Bombyx mori: one gene and its partners. The protein of the gene in region 1 binds, or shares a complex with, the protein of each later gene. Links are inferred from orthologs where the notes say so. Each region holds a gene or a part of one and is shown in the gene's direction. Other genes may lie near its edges. The genes, in order: eukaryotic translation initiation factor 3 subunit J, eukaryotic translation initiation factor 3 subunit M and eIF3h.

Region 1 (3,661 bases):
GGTTGCGATTCCGATCTGGTGTAGATTCAGCCAAGCAGTGTCCTGGTTAAGGCTAATGTTTGCAAATTATTCAGGCTGACCACCATGAGCTCGTTCTACACGTAGCCATAAGTAGGTCAAAAAAAAGGACGAGTACGACATCAAACACGCAACAACCAATACCTCAATTCCGTCCACCCCAGTGCTACACCGCTCAGCGTTGAGTGCATCTCAACATGCTCTAACACCATCACACACAAATGTATGTACTGTCTGGTGTTTTTAAATGCGTACAAAAATATTTCTGTCAATACAACACATCAGAGAAAACTATAATAGACTCAAATCTATTTTTTGTGATGTAGGGATAGCTGGCGGTCCCAAGGTCTTTCTAGTTTCAATAGCTAAAACGGCTAAATGAGTACGAAATAGTCTTGGGAGCTTCAAAATACACAACGAGAACACTCTTTTTAATTAGGAAAATACATTATTTTACTCTTAAATTAAAATACAAAACAATTTTTTTAAACTTGTAATATTTTTCTATTCGTTTCATTTCACCATTTATACTGATAGCTGACAAGATTTTTCATAAAATGATCCTGTATAGGCTAAGACCCTTTCGCCTGTTTCGTGAGATAAATAAAATATAACACTGTCGGCCATATTGAAAATTTTAGTAAATCGGGAATTATCGTCTGCAATGGATTCTTACTTTTCTAAATCAATTTGTGAACATACGTCTGTTGGGGCTTCGCCAATATTATGTCATTTGTTCATTGTTTTTCAATCCGACCGTGATAATTGCAGAAAATCGTCTTCAGTTTGACGAATTACACTCGAGTTTTGTTGTTGTCTAGAAAACGACGACTCTGGAGACATCTTGTGAGTGATAAGTCACTGTCGATAGTTGTCCGATTTTGGTGTTCAGGTGAAAAGTTTTCATATTAATTCAGCTGCTGATTCTGGAGTCCTAAAAATGGACGTGTCATGGGGTACGTACTGTTTAATACAATAACAAAATAGATTTTATAAATATCTACATTCGTAATGTCAATCGTGGTACATTCCAGACGCAGATAACTTCGAGCCCAAACTCCCGACCACGTTGGCAGCTTCCAACAAATGGGAAGGGGAAGACGAGGATGATAACGTAAAGGTAATCATTGGTGTGCCAAGTAGTTTGTATACAGTGTTCTAACTTCTAAATGTATTACGAATCTTCTCAAAACAGTACATAACCTAAATGACTGCCTACGTGTTGACGTCAGACTTTATTCGCAGGAAAGCTGGGAGGATGAGGAGGAGGAAAAGAAAGACGAAGAAAAGACTGAGGCAGCGCCACCTCCACAACCGAAACCTAAAAAGAAAATACACGATAAAATAGCCGAAAGAGAGGTATAGTGCTTTTAAAACATATGTTTAATGATTTAGAGATTTTATAGTCTAAACTCTACTAGAATAGCTTCTAGTTTATAGAATAGATAATTATAATTATATGGTAACATAAATTACTACCCATTTAGTGGTATTTTAACACATGAACTTAATAGTTTTGTTACACATAAACTTGGTAATGTTGAGCATTGTTGAAGCCAATTGCATCCTCTATTAACCAAAAGTTGTCTAAAAATAATTTTAAAACATTTAATTGCATTGTATACATACCAAAAATAGAAATAAGATTTGAAGGAAAAATAATATATGTAGTCTATTGTAAAATTTAAGACTTAATATATAGACACTGATATTTATTGCCTGCTTCGCCATGATCATCCATCTAGTGGAATAGATAAAATATGCACTCCATTTGAAATCAGTTTAAATGTTCTTTTTTTTATAATACCAATCACTGGCAAATTATCTTAATTATCATCTTCTTCTTTGTTCTTTCTCTCTCTGCTGGGGTGTAGGGCTCGAATCATATTCTTTCGTTTGCAGTCAATGGTATTTTTTTAATTAATAGTGAAGAAAAAACTGATAAATAAAAAAAACTAAATCTGTTGACAAACAGAAGAGAAAATTTTATTTAGCTTTTTATTGTACCCATCTATGTATAAATTAGATTCACATAATCATTAGATACCTATCGAGTTTAACATTAGCCAGTGTTTGTCTAAAATTTGTTTTGCAAAAGTCATTGACGCTTATTTATATAAAATTCGTGGAGATAACTTATTATATTATGAAATTACAGTAACTGTATGTACTGCTCTGATGCAAATTTCAACTATAAATATTTACACAAAAAATAATTAAAAAGGACAAGTTAAATACAAATAATTTATAATAAATATCAAGGTTCCAGTATGCATAAAGAAGGTTAACAAGATAGATTACTCATGGATTATCATCACCTTGCAATTAATATTAAATTCATTTGACAGCATAAAATATCAGAATAATAATTAAAATATATTAAGAACCCATTAATTATTAATATTTAAAAAACAACAGAAAAGAAATCTGGTGCTAGTGAGGGTGTTCCTGTTAGGTAACATAAAAAGTGGAATTTAAAAATAACATTTTGCTAGCAATTGTTCACTCAGTAATGATAGCTGACGATCCCACTCAGTCATCATATATCATCTTCCTTGACATATTGTGTGTCAACATCTGGTTATGACTGATTATGTGCTCAAATATGGTTAGGGAAGCCACATTTTGTCTTGAAGGGTCTGTTGCAGGGTGCACAATACAACAGCCCATCAGCATTCTACATAAAGTATAGGAGGAAGGCCAAATTTTGTATACACTTTTTTTTTTCAAATCTTGAGACAGCTTTGTGAGCATATCTGTATCATTCTGGACTCCGTTGTGTGCGATATTAGACACAGTTGGATGACATTCTAAAACATCCCCTGTAACATTAGCATTGCCCTCCAGGTGCTCACTGTTCATAATTCAGCTGTTAGTAAAAGACAAATCTAGGAAACTTAGAGTCATCCACACTTGTTGGAAGTGCTTCAATACTATTTACCTTCATCCTCAATATCTCAGTTTGAGACTTGATCTTGCCGCTTTATGCAAAGTATGGATGTTACACACTTTATGTTGATGGTGTTGCTTGATATCACCTCTGTAGTCCTGGTGGCATAAAGCGTATTGCTTTATTACCTTATATACAGCGATCATTGTGTGCAGACAAAGGTCATGTGAGGCCCTGACTCTTTTGCACAGCATTCAACACCCTTTGCAATTCATGAGGAATTTGTATTAAAATTTTGTATAGGGTATGACAATATTAAGTTAAAGGTTAACTTACATCATGTTTGGGATAATAACCAAATCTAAAATACGATAATTCACCAGAAAAATGAACATAGTTTCATAACTTCATAGAATTGACAGGCTATAGTTGCTCTTGAATTGATATAATATCCATAATATTTAAATTATAAAATTTTACTAGCGACAAGAACGTGAGAAGGCTGAACGTCTCGTGACAGAGAAGACTGCAGAAGAAATGACTCCAGAGCAGAAGTTGGCTGAGAAACTTCGCCAGCAGAAGCTACAGGAAGAATCAGATTTGCGACTAGCCATGGAAACCTTTGGTATGCTTGATTGATTTGGTGTGCTCGTATTACAGTTTGTGGATTCCAAAATAAGATTCATTTTAAGCAATAATTAGTAGACATTCTAAAAGAGGGTTTATAATCCCTAATATAATGAAGTTGTTGTG
Region 2 (3,759 bases), on another chromosome or scaffold:
TAAAAGACAGACAGCCCAGGCCCACAGTGTAAAGATGGGTAGTAGTACTTATGCTGTGATATTAATTTTGGTAATAATTAAGCCTCGTGTGCACAGTGAGATTTTCTACTCATCTAAGAAAAAGTAATAAACATTGACTAACTATTTTGTGTGGGTCTTCATCTAAAGATGTAACAAATAATTCATGGTCACAAGCTACACCCTCTGCTATGAAATATTTGAATAACACTTTGCTGTACACACCAAGGACATCTTCCTCTGAAAAGTAAATAAGGTAATTGAAGTCCTTTCATTGGAATTAATAACAATGCGTTGTGTGAATATAAAAATCATATTAATCTTACTTTCTTAAAATGCAATGTATTGAAAATTAAATGAAGTTATGATAAAAAACTAAATATTTTTAATTTGATTATTTATTAAATTTCATATCCATATTTATTTATTAAATTTGTTTTGGCTCTAAGATATTATGCAATTTTAAAAGAAATTCACGAACCTACAACAAAAATGCTGCCTGCAGGTATTCCTCCACCTAGAAAGTGTAAAATTATATTTATTTTATTGATTTTTGTAAATATATGACAATAAAAACTTTTATAAATTAAATTTGTTCCCTACAATTGTTTAAAATTGATTTGATCTTGTTTTGCCAATCTAATCCATTAAACATAATAGTAAAACTTACCAACTATATGGTCTAAGGATGGAATACCGGAAGATACGTATGGTAGGTTATTTTTCACTTTTGTGCCATTTATATGCGTACTTATATCTATAAATTTTCGAAAACTACGCATTTTTTATTAATATATCAAGCCGATTTCTGTAAAATATTGTTTATCGATTAAAATTCACTACCTACGATGTAGGTATTTTTCTTTTTGAAGTTTTTGTGATTTGGTAACAAGACCTTTAAGCCAGATGTAGGTTTACAAATTTACGAGATATAGTTGCCACGATAACGGGTCTTTACCAATAAGTTACTGTTTTAAAATACCATTTGAAACGTAGTTTATGCATTTCTGACAGTAAATTCCTAATTCAACTGAATTTTTTATTAAAAGTCACAATTACTGTTTAGTGGTTTAGTGTCGGTATATTTCTTAAATTGTGTAGTTTTGTTCTTATCAAATGCCATAAGTATTACAGTGGATGTGTACTGTGAGGAACAAGGCACAATATTGGAGAAGCTCGGGAATCATATAATTTCCAAATTGAAGTCACACTAACACCTTATAATGCTCACGTTGCAATTCATTTCTCTTTATATCATTTTTCATAAAAACAATATACAAAAGATTAGGCTATATGTTATGATACCTTTGCCCTCTCAGTTGGAAAAACTAGAAATACTACTCTATTAACTGTCATATCGTTTGCCACATTTCGTTGCTAAGAAATCGTTCTTGCATTCACTTTAATGCTTATAAATAATAAATAAAAGAATACAGTTCAAAAAAGGAATTAAAATGCAAGGGCCAGCTGTGTTTATGGACATATCCCTGGAAGATCAGGTCAGTTTATGTCAACATAACCTGTCGTTCAAAACAAATTATTTGCTGCAATGTGTCTACATGCAAATTTTAATAAAATTTCTTTCTTGATTGAAGGCACTCGAACTGAGAAGATATTTTAAGAGCCTTGGCGCCGAGATTTCAGAAGAAAAATCACCTAAGGGCATTGAGGATGATCTGCATAAGATCGTTGGGGTTTGTGATGCTTGTTTCAAAGAGCCGAGTGAATCGGACATCGAAGCCATTCTGAACAGTATTGTCTCTATTATGGTTTCTGTAAGTTGAACGCAAAAGCTATAGTTATTTTTAATAAGAAACATCTAGGTGTACTTTAGCATTAATTAGAGTACTAAGCGGTAGGCAGCGACTTGGCTCTGCCCCTGGCATTGCTGAAGTCCATGGGCGACGGTAACCACCATCAGGTGGGCCGTGTGCTCGTCAGCCTACAAGGGCAATAAAAATAAATGTTTGATAGTTGACTCGCATACTTACATATATATTGCAACTAATATTCACAGATACCATTAGAAAGAGGAGAAAACCTTATCTTAGCATTTAGTCAAAGGCTCACTAAGGCTCCTGGCCCTAAACTTGGAATGGTAGCTTTGCAATCGTAAGTATATAGAGGTTTTTTTAACTATGCAAGTAACCTTTATTATTCAACCAACTACATCACTTATCAGATCTTAGTTACAAAGATTTAAGTGAAATCACAGGTTTAAATCCATCATGACATAGGGAATAAGGCTTTTTATTTCTTGCCCATAAATGTTTAAAAATGAATGTTGCAATTTTTATTTTTTTATAATTTATTTAAATGTCAAATAAACAATATTTTAAAATCATTAAGGACAGAAAAAAATGTGTCAAATAAATTTACTTATTTTTGGGATTAAATGGATCCAATGTACATGTCTTCACTACATAGTATAAAACAAAGTCTCTTTCTCTGTCCCTATATCCCTATGTATGCTTAAATCTTTAAAACTACGCAATAAAATTTGATGCAGTTTTTTTAATAGATAGAGGCATTGAAGAGGAAGGTTTATATGTATAATAACATCCATTAAATAGTGGAGAAATCAATAATAAATTACAGTTTCCGAAGCGAAGCGAGGGCGTGTCGCTAGTAAAATATAATAAAAATAGATCCTAGAATTCCAAATTGGTATTTTATAGAATTGAAGCAGAATATGTATTAATGATTGTTAGGGAAAAATGCATAAGGCTTACAGAAATGCTTGATGCTTGTGTGTGAATGGAAGTATGATTAAGTAATAGTATATTCATCAAAAGTTTTAATTGTGGCACAAAAAGTGGAACTGCTGACAGGAAAGTAATGAAAAAAAATTTATACCAAATAATCACCCAGCAGTATTTAGTTTAGGACAATCACTTTCATCCACATGAAAGATAGTAATTTTGCAAAATGTTTGTTTCATAGGTTATGGAGACTTTACAACAACTTAGAACCCAACTCACCTCTAAGATACCATGTATATTATCATGTCATAGAACTGGCTGCACGAGTTGGATTTGTCAGGGAAGTCTTCACTGGGGTTGAGCAGCTTAGGAAAGAGTTTGCTAACTGCCCACCCTCTAATGAACAAATGCAGAAATTGTATCGGCTTTTACATCAAGTGTTAAAAGACCAAAACAGGTATGTTCTCACTACATTAAATTTATTAAACAATGACCATATTATTTCTATGAGTGATGTACCAAAGTCTGATTGCTTGTTAAGGAAACATTGTTATTAATATTTCTCAAAATAGCAAACATATTTCACCAAAAGAGATTCTATGTTTAGAATTATGTTTTGCTATTTGAAAATTATTTTAGTACTATTCATTTTGTGTTATTTTTTTTTTTTTTATTGCTTGGATTGCTGGACGAGTTCACAGCCCACCTGGTGTTAAGTGGTTACTGGAGCCCATAGACCTCCACAACGTAAATGCGCCACCCATCTTGAGATATAAGTTCTAAGGTCTCAAGTAAGTTGCAATGGCTGCCCCACCCTTCAAACCGAAACGCATTACTGCTTCACGGCAGAAATAGGCAGGGTGGTGGTACCCACCCGCGCGGACTCACAAGAGGTCCTACCACCAGTAATTACGCAAATTATAATTTTTGCGGGTTTGAATTTTATTACACGATGTTATTCCTTCACCGTGGAAATCAACCGTGAACACTTGTTGAGTACGTATTTCATTAGAAAAATTCGAACACCGGGTGCATCAAC
Region 3 (3,759 bases), on another chromosome or scaffold:
AGGGTAAAATTTACTCATCGAGCCAAGCAAAACAATAGAAAATTAATTAGTAAAAGATTCGTTTTAAGCTTTGAAATAATCAATTCTGCACAACAGGAACAAATTTTTTCACCACATAGTTCTAAGCTTTGTTTTTTTTATTGCCCTTGTAGGTAGACGAGCACACGGCCCATGTGATGGTGAGTGGTTACTGTCGTCCATGGATAGAGCCAGGGGCAGAGCCAGGCCGCTGCCAACCAGTTTATACTCTCCACAAGCTTCGTTTGAAGAAGGCGTTGTTATAGTTGTCGGGAAACACCGTGGAGGGGAGCTTATTCCAAAGCCGGACGGTACGTGGCAAAAAGATCTCTGGAAACGCCCTGTGGATGACCGCAGTAGTTCCAGGAATTATGGATGAACTCTATTCCGGTGGCGGGCGGTGTGATGGTAAAAACGAGATGATGGTTTCATGTCTAACAATTCCTTAGAGCACTCCCCATGGAACATACGGTGCAAAATAACAGAGTGAACCCAAGTCCCTCCGCAGACACAGAGGTTCCAAACGATCCGTGAGAATGGGATTATCGACAATCCGAACGGCCCTCCTCTGTATGGAGTCAAATGGAAGAAGCTGGTATTTGGGAGCCCCCGAACGGCTCTCTTCTGTATAGAGTCAAATGGAAGTAGCTGGTTTTTGGGAGCCCGGCCCAGAGGTCGGAGTAGTACTCCACACGAGGCCGGACCTGTGCTTTGTAGAGCGAGAGTCTTAAGCAAAAGTCGTAAGTTAACAAAATGTTCCATAAGGTACAACCTAATAAATAAACGATTAATTACAAATTGACGAACGGTAAAATATAAATACAGCGATAACGCGAATTGATACCACTTCCTTATTAAAGCAAATAATGAGACCTCACGTCTATAAGTGTAATTCGAGCCATATCACTTAACTTTATAGTATTTTTTTTAATTCAAAATCTGTAAGAATGTAATACAATTTATACATGGATAATAGAAAAAGATTGAACAACATTTGAGATTTATCATATAAATAAAAAATCTTTTAAACCTTAATTTTTATCATTACTAAAAATGGATTTGTTAAAGAATATTTACAAGATCATAATGCATTAATTGTTTTACATTTATACCGTAAACATTAGGATTAACTATCATTGTGATCCATAGTACAATACGCAAAATTACGGCACTTATTTATTGCATTGTAACTGGGATATAAAAACTACTATATTAATCTCATTAGCGTGTGTATGTCTTCGTATACCTACTCTTTTTAAAACCCAGAAATTTGTAAAAACTGGTATATAGTTCCAACAGTGTTTAAGTTTAATCGAGATGTGATATTCGTGGTAGTATTTTTAAAGGCTAATCTGTCGTATAGTGTCGATTGCAAATAAGGTATCGATTACAATTATCGATAGCTATTGATAGTCGATTTGGAGAGCTACACTAAAATGTAATCAAATCAAACGTTCTCTTGTGAATTAAAAATGGCGAGCCGTGCTGGTTCAGCTAGACGCGCTCCTGAAAATGAAGCGACGATCCAATATGTTCAGTGCGATGGACTGGTAAGTAAATTTAAAATTAAAGTTTAGATAGGTTCTCTGAGACGGACGTCAACTGTAGGTTTTAAATTAAAAACTTTGTGAAAGTTCGTGCCTCGACACGTCATGTATTTTTACCATTTAATTAATATATAGAAGTAAACATCGTCAATTAAGGTGGATTATTATGATCTGGAACATGATTCGTGTTGTATGATTTTAGGAGATCTTAGATTACAATAAAATAGGTTGCCGTTGCAATAATAAAGATAATTGTATAGGTTATGTTTTCAATTTTGTGCTCTCGTTTCTTTTTAAATAAATCGGGCAAACGTTGACAATTCACCAAACCTTGAATAATTCGTTATGTTAATTTCTATAGGATTCTATGAACCAAAAAACTTTCGATATAAAAAGAAAATAAAAGACTACAAAGGTTTTTTATTTCTGTTTACAACATATAAACGTTGTTGAGTCATTGACTGTTTTGGGACATTTGCCCTGAGCCCGGGGGTCATTGAAATAGGAGGATGATCTCACCTAACTGTACATCTAAAACATTAAATTTTCTCTGAACTATATAATTAGTGTTTTAAACTATGCTTCATTACAAAGTTTAGATCTTGATAGTATATGTGAAGTCATTTTTTGTTATATACTATACTACTATTTACTGATAATTTTATAGTTTCCTAACTGTAAATGATTGAGATTAGTTTTTGTTCTGATTGATTGCAAATAGCAAGCTGATTGATTTCCTACACATACACAGAAAGTTAATATAGCAATAATTTATTAGGGATGGGTAGGTATTAATTTGTTTTGTTAAACTTGTTACACATTAAAGTGTATTTTAACTTGCCTTGAATAATATCCTCTCTGAAGTTATTTAGTTGAAACATGCTTAAAGTAGTGGTAAAACAGTTTAATATGTGGTAATCAAACAAATCCTCATCGAACTAACTCAAGCATTTGAAATGACAGATCTGCTCCCACTTTTATAATATATTTGTGCTTTTTATTTTAGGCAGTGATGAAAATAGTGAAACACTGTCATGAAGAATCATGCAGCAACATGGAGGTGGCTCAGGGAGCTCTCCTTGGTTTGGTCGTTGAGAACCGTCTGGAGATTACCAACTGCTTCCCATTTCCAAAGCATGACGACACCATGGATGAGGAGGAATACCAGTTGGACATGATGAGGAGGCTTCGAAGAGTCAATGTTGATCATTTTCATGTTGGATGGTAATTAATATTGAAAATTGTTTTATAGTATGTCAAAATATGTCATACAATATTTTAAATTAGAACAGCAGAACTTTCTTTTTTCTTATACCTCATATCTTTCTTCAGGTACCAGAGTGCAGATGTAGGCAATTTTCTAAGCCTTTCGTTATTAGAGTCACAATATCACTATCAGACCTCTATTGAGGAGAGTGTTGTTGTGATTTACGATACAAAGAAATCAGCCAGAGGATTCTTGACTTTGAAGGCCTATCGTTTGACACCTCAGGTAATTAAGCTCTCATAACTATACACATTTTAAAGTGCTAATGTTGTTAATTGAGCTTTATGACAGAACTAATTTCTGAAGTTGAGCTATTTTATTTATTTATATTACGTATATTTAGTGAAGTTATCACTTGTTAATGCTAAGTGAATGGCAGAATCTATATTTTTGAGATATTTTAAATGTTTTTTATGGGGATACTATCTAAGTGGTCCATGCAACCTGCAGATATCACAACATGAGTGCATTAAGCGGTAGGCAGCGGCTTGGCTCTGCCCTTGGCATTGCTGAAGTCCATGGGCGATGGTAACCACTCACCATCAGGTGGGCCGTATGCTCGTCTGCCTACAAAGGCAATAAAAATAATAAAAAAAAATATATTTGATGTCTCACCATTAAACCAGAATGAATGTATGATTCCCAGCAAATATAAAGAGGATGGTAATGTATGTTCTTATACACATGTCTTAAGATGTAAGACTGTTCTCAATCCTTAAACACATTATTATTACGTGCAGAAATAATAGTAACTTGGACTCACAATATGCTCATCAACAAGCAAGTAAATTATTGTTGTTTTTTTTTTATATTTATATTGTGAAAACATTATGTATAGTTGGGTGTTCATGTATGAATAAGAATATATGTAAAATTGAGGTTAATACTTACTTTACAGGCTATTGCTATGTACAAGGAAGGCGATTA

Evidence for each region.
Region 2: eukaryotic translation initiation factor 3 subunit J (region 1) and eukaryotic translation initiation factor 3 subunit M share a complex: the UniProt entries of both Drosophila melanogaster proteins name them as parts of the eukaryotic translation initiation factor 3 (eIF-3) complex. The link is inferred for Bombyx mori from reciprocal best matches to the Drosophila melanogaster genes eIF3j and eIF3m.
Region 3: eukaryotic translation initiation factor 3 subunit J (region 1) and eIF3h share a complex: the UniProt entries of both Drosophila melanogaster proteins name them as parts of the eukaryotic translation initiation factor 3 (eIF-3) complex. The link is inferred for Bombyx mori from reciprocal best matches to the Drosophila melanogaster genes eIF3j and eIF3h.

The regions. Positions count from the first base shown.
Region 1 is NC_085125.1:12,538,064-12,541,724, forward strand, and holds the start of eukaryotic translation initiation factor 3 subunit J, read left to right. Parts: upstream 1-859; 5' UTR 860-958; coding exon 959-974; intron 975-1,052; coding exon 1,053-1,138; intron 1,139-1,263; coding exon 1,264-1,377; intron 1,378-3,391; coding exon 3,392-3,533; intron 3,534-3,661. UniProt on the Drosophila melanogaster protein: Component of the eukaryotic translation initiation factor 3 (eIF-3) complex, which is involved in protein synthesis of a specialized repertoire of mRNAs and, together with other initiation factors, stimulates binding of mRNA and methionyl-tRNAi to the 40S ribosome.
Region 2 is NC_085119.1:6,794,514-6,798,272, forward strand, and holds the start of eukaryotic translation initiation factor 3 subunit M, read left to right. Parts: upstream 1-1,332; 5' UTR 1,333-1,472; coding exon 1,473-1,517; intron 1,518-1,613; coding exon 1,614-1,793; intron 1,794-2,035; coding exon 2,036-2,130; intron 2,131-2,961; coding exon 2,962-3,177; intron 3,178-3,759. UniProt on the Drosophila melanogaster protein: Component of the eukaryotic translation initiation factor 3 (eIF-3) complex, which is involved in protein synthesis of a specialized repertoire of mRNAs and, together with other initiation factors, stimulates binding of mRNA and methionyl-tRNAi to the 40S ribosome.
Region 3 is NC_085110.1:3,930,253-3,934,011, forward strand, and holds the start of eIF3h (eukaryotic translation initiation factor 3 subunit H), read left to right. Parts: upstream 1-1,474; 5' UTR 1,475-1,490; coding exon 1,491-1,568; intron 1,569-2,571; coding exon 2,572-2,789; intron 2,790-2,897; coding exon 2,898-3,057; intron 3,058-3,730; coding exon 3,731-3,759. UniProt on the Drosophila melanogaster protein: Component of the eukaryotic translation initiation factor 3 (eIF-3) complex, which is involved in protein synthesis of a specialized repertoire of mRNAs and, together with other initiation factors, stimulates binding of mRNA and methionyl-tRNAi to the 40S ribosome.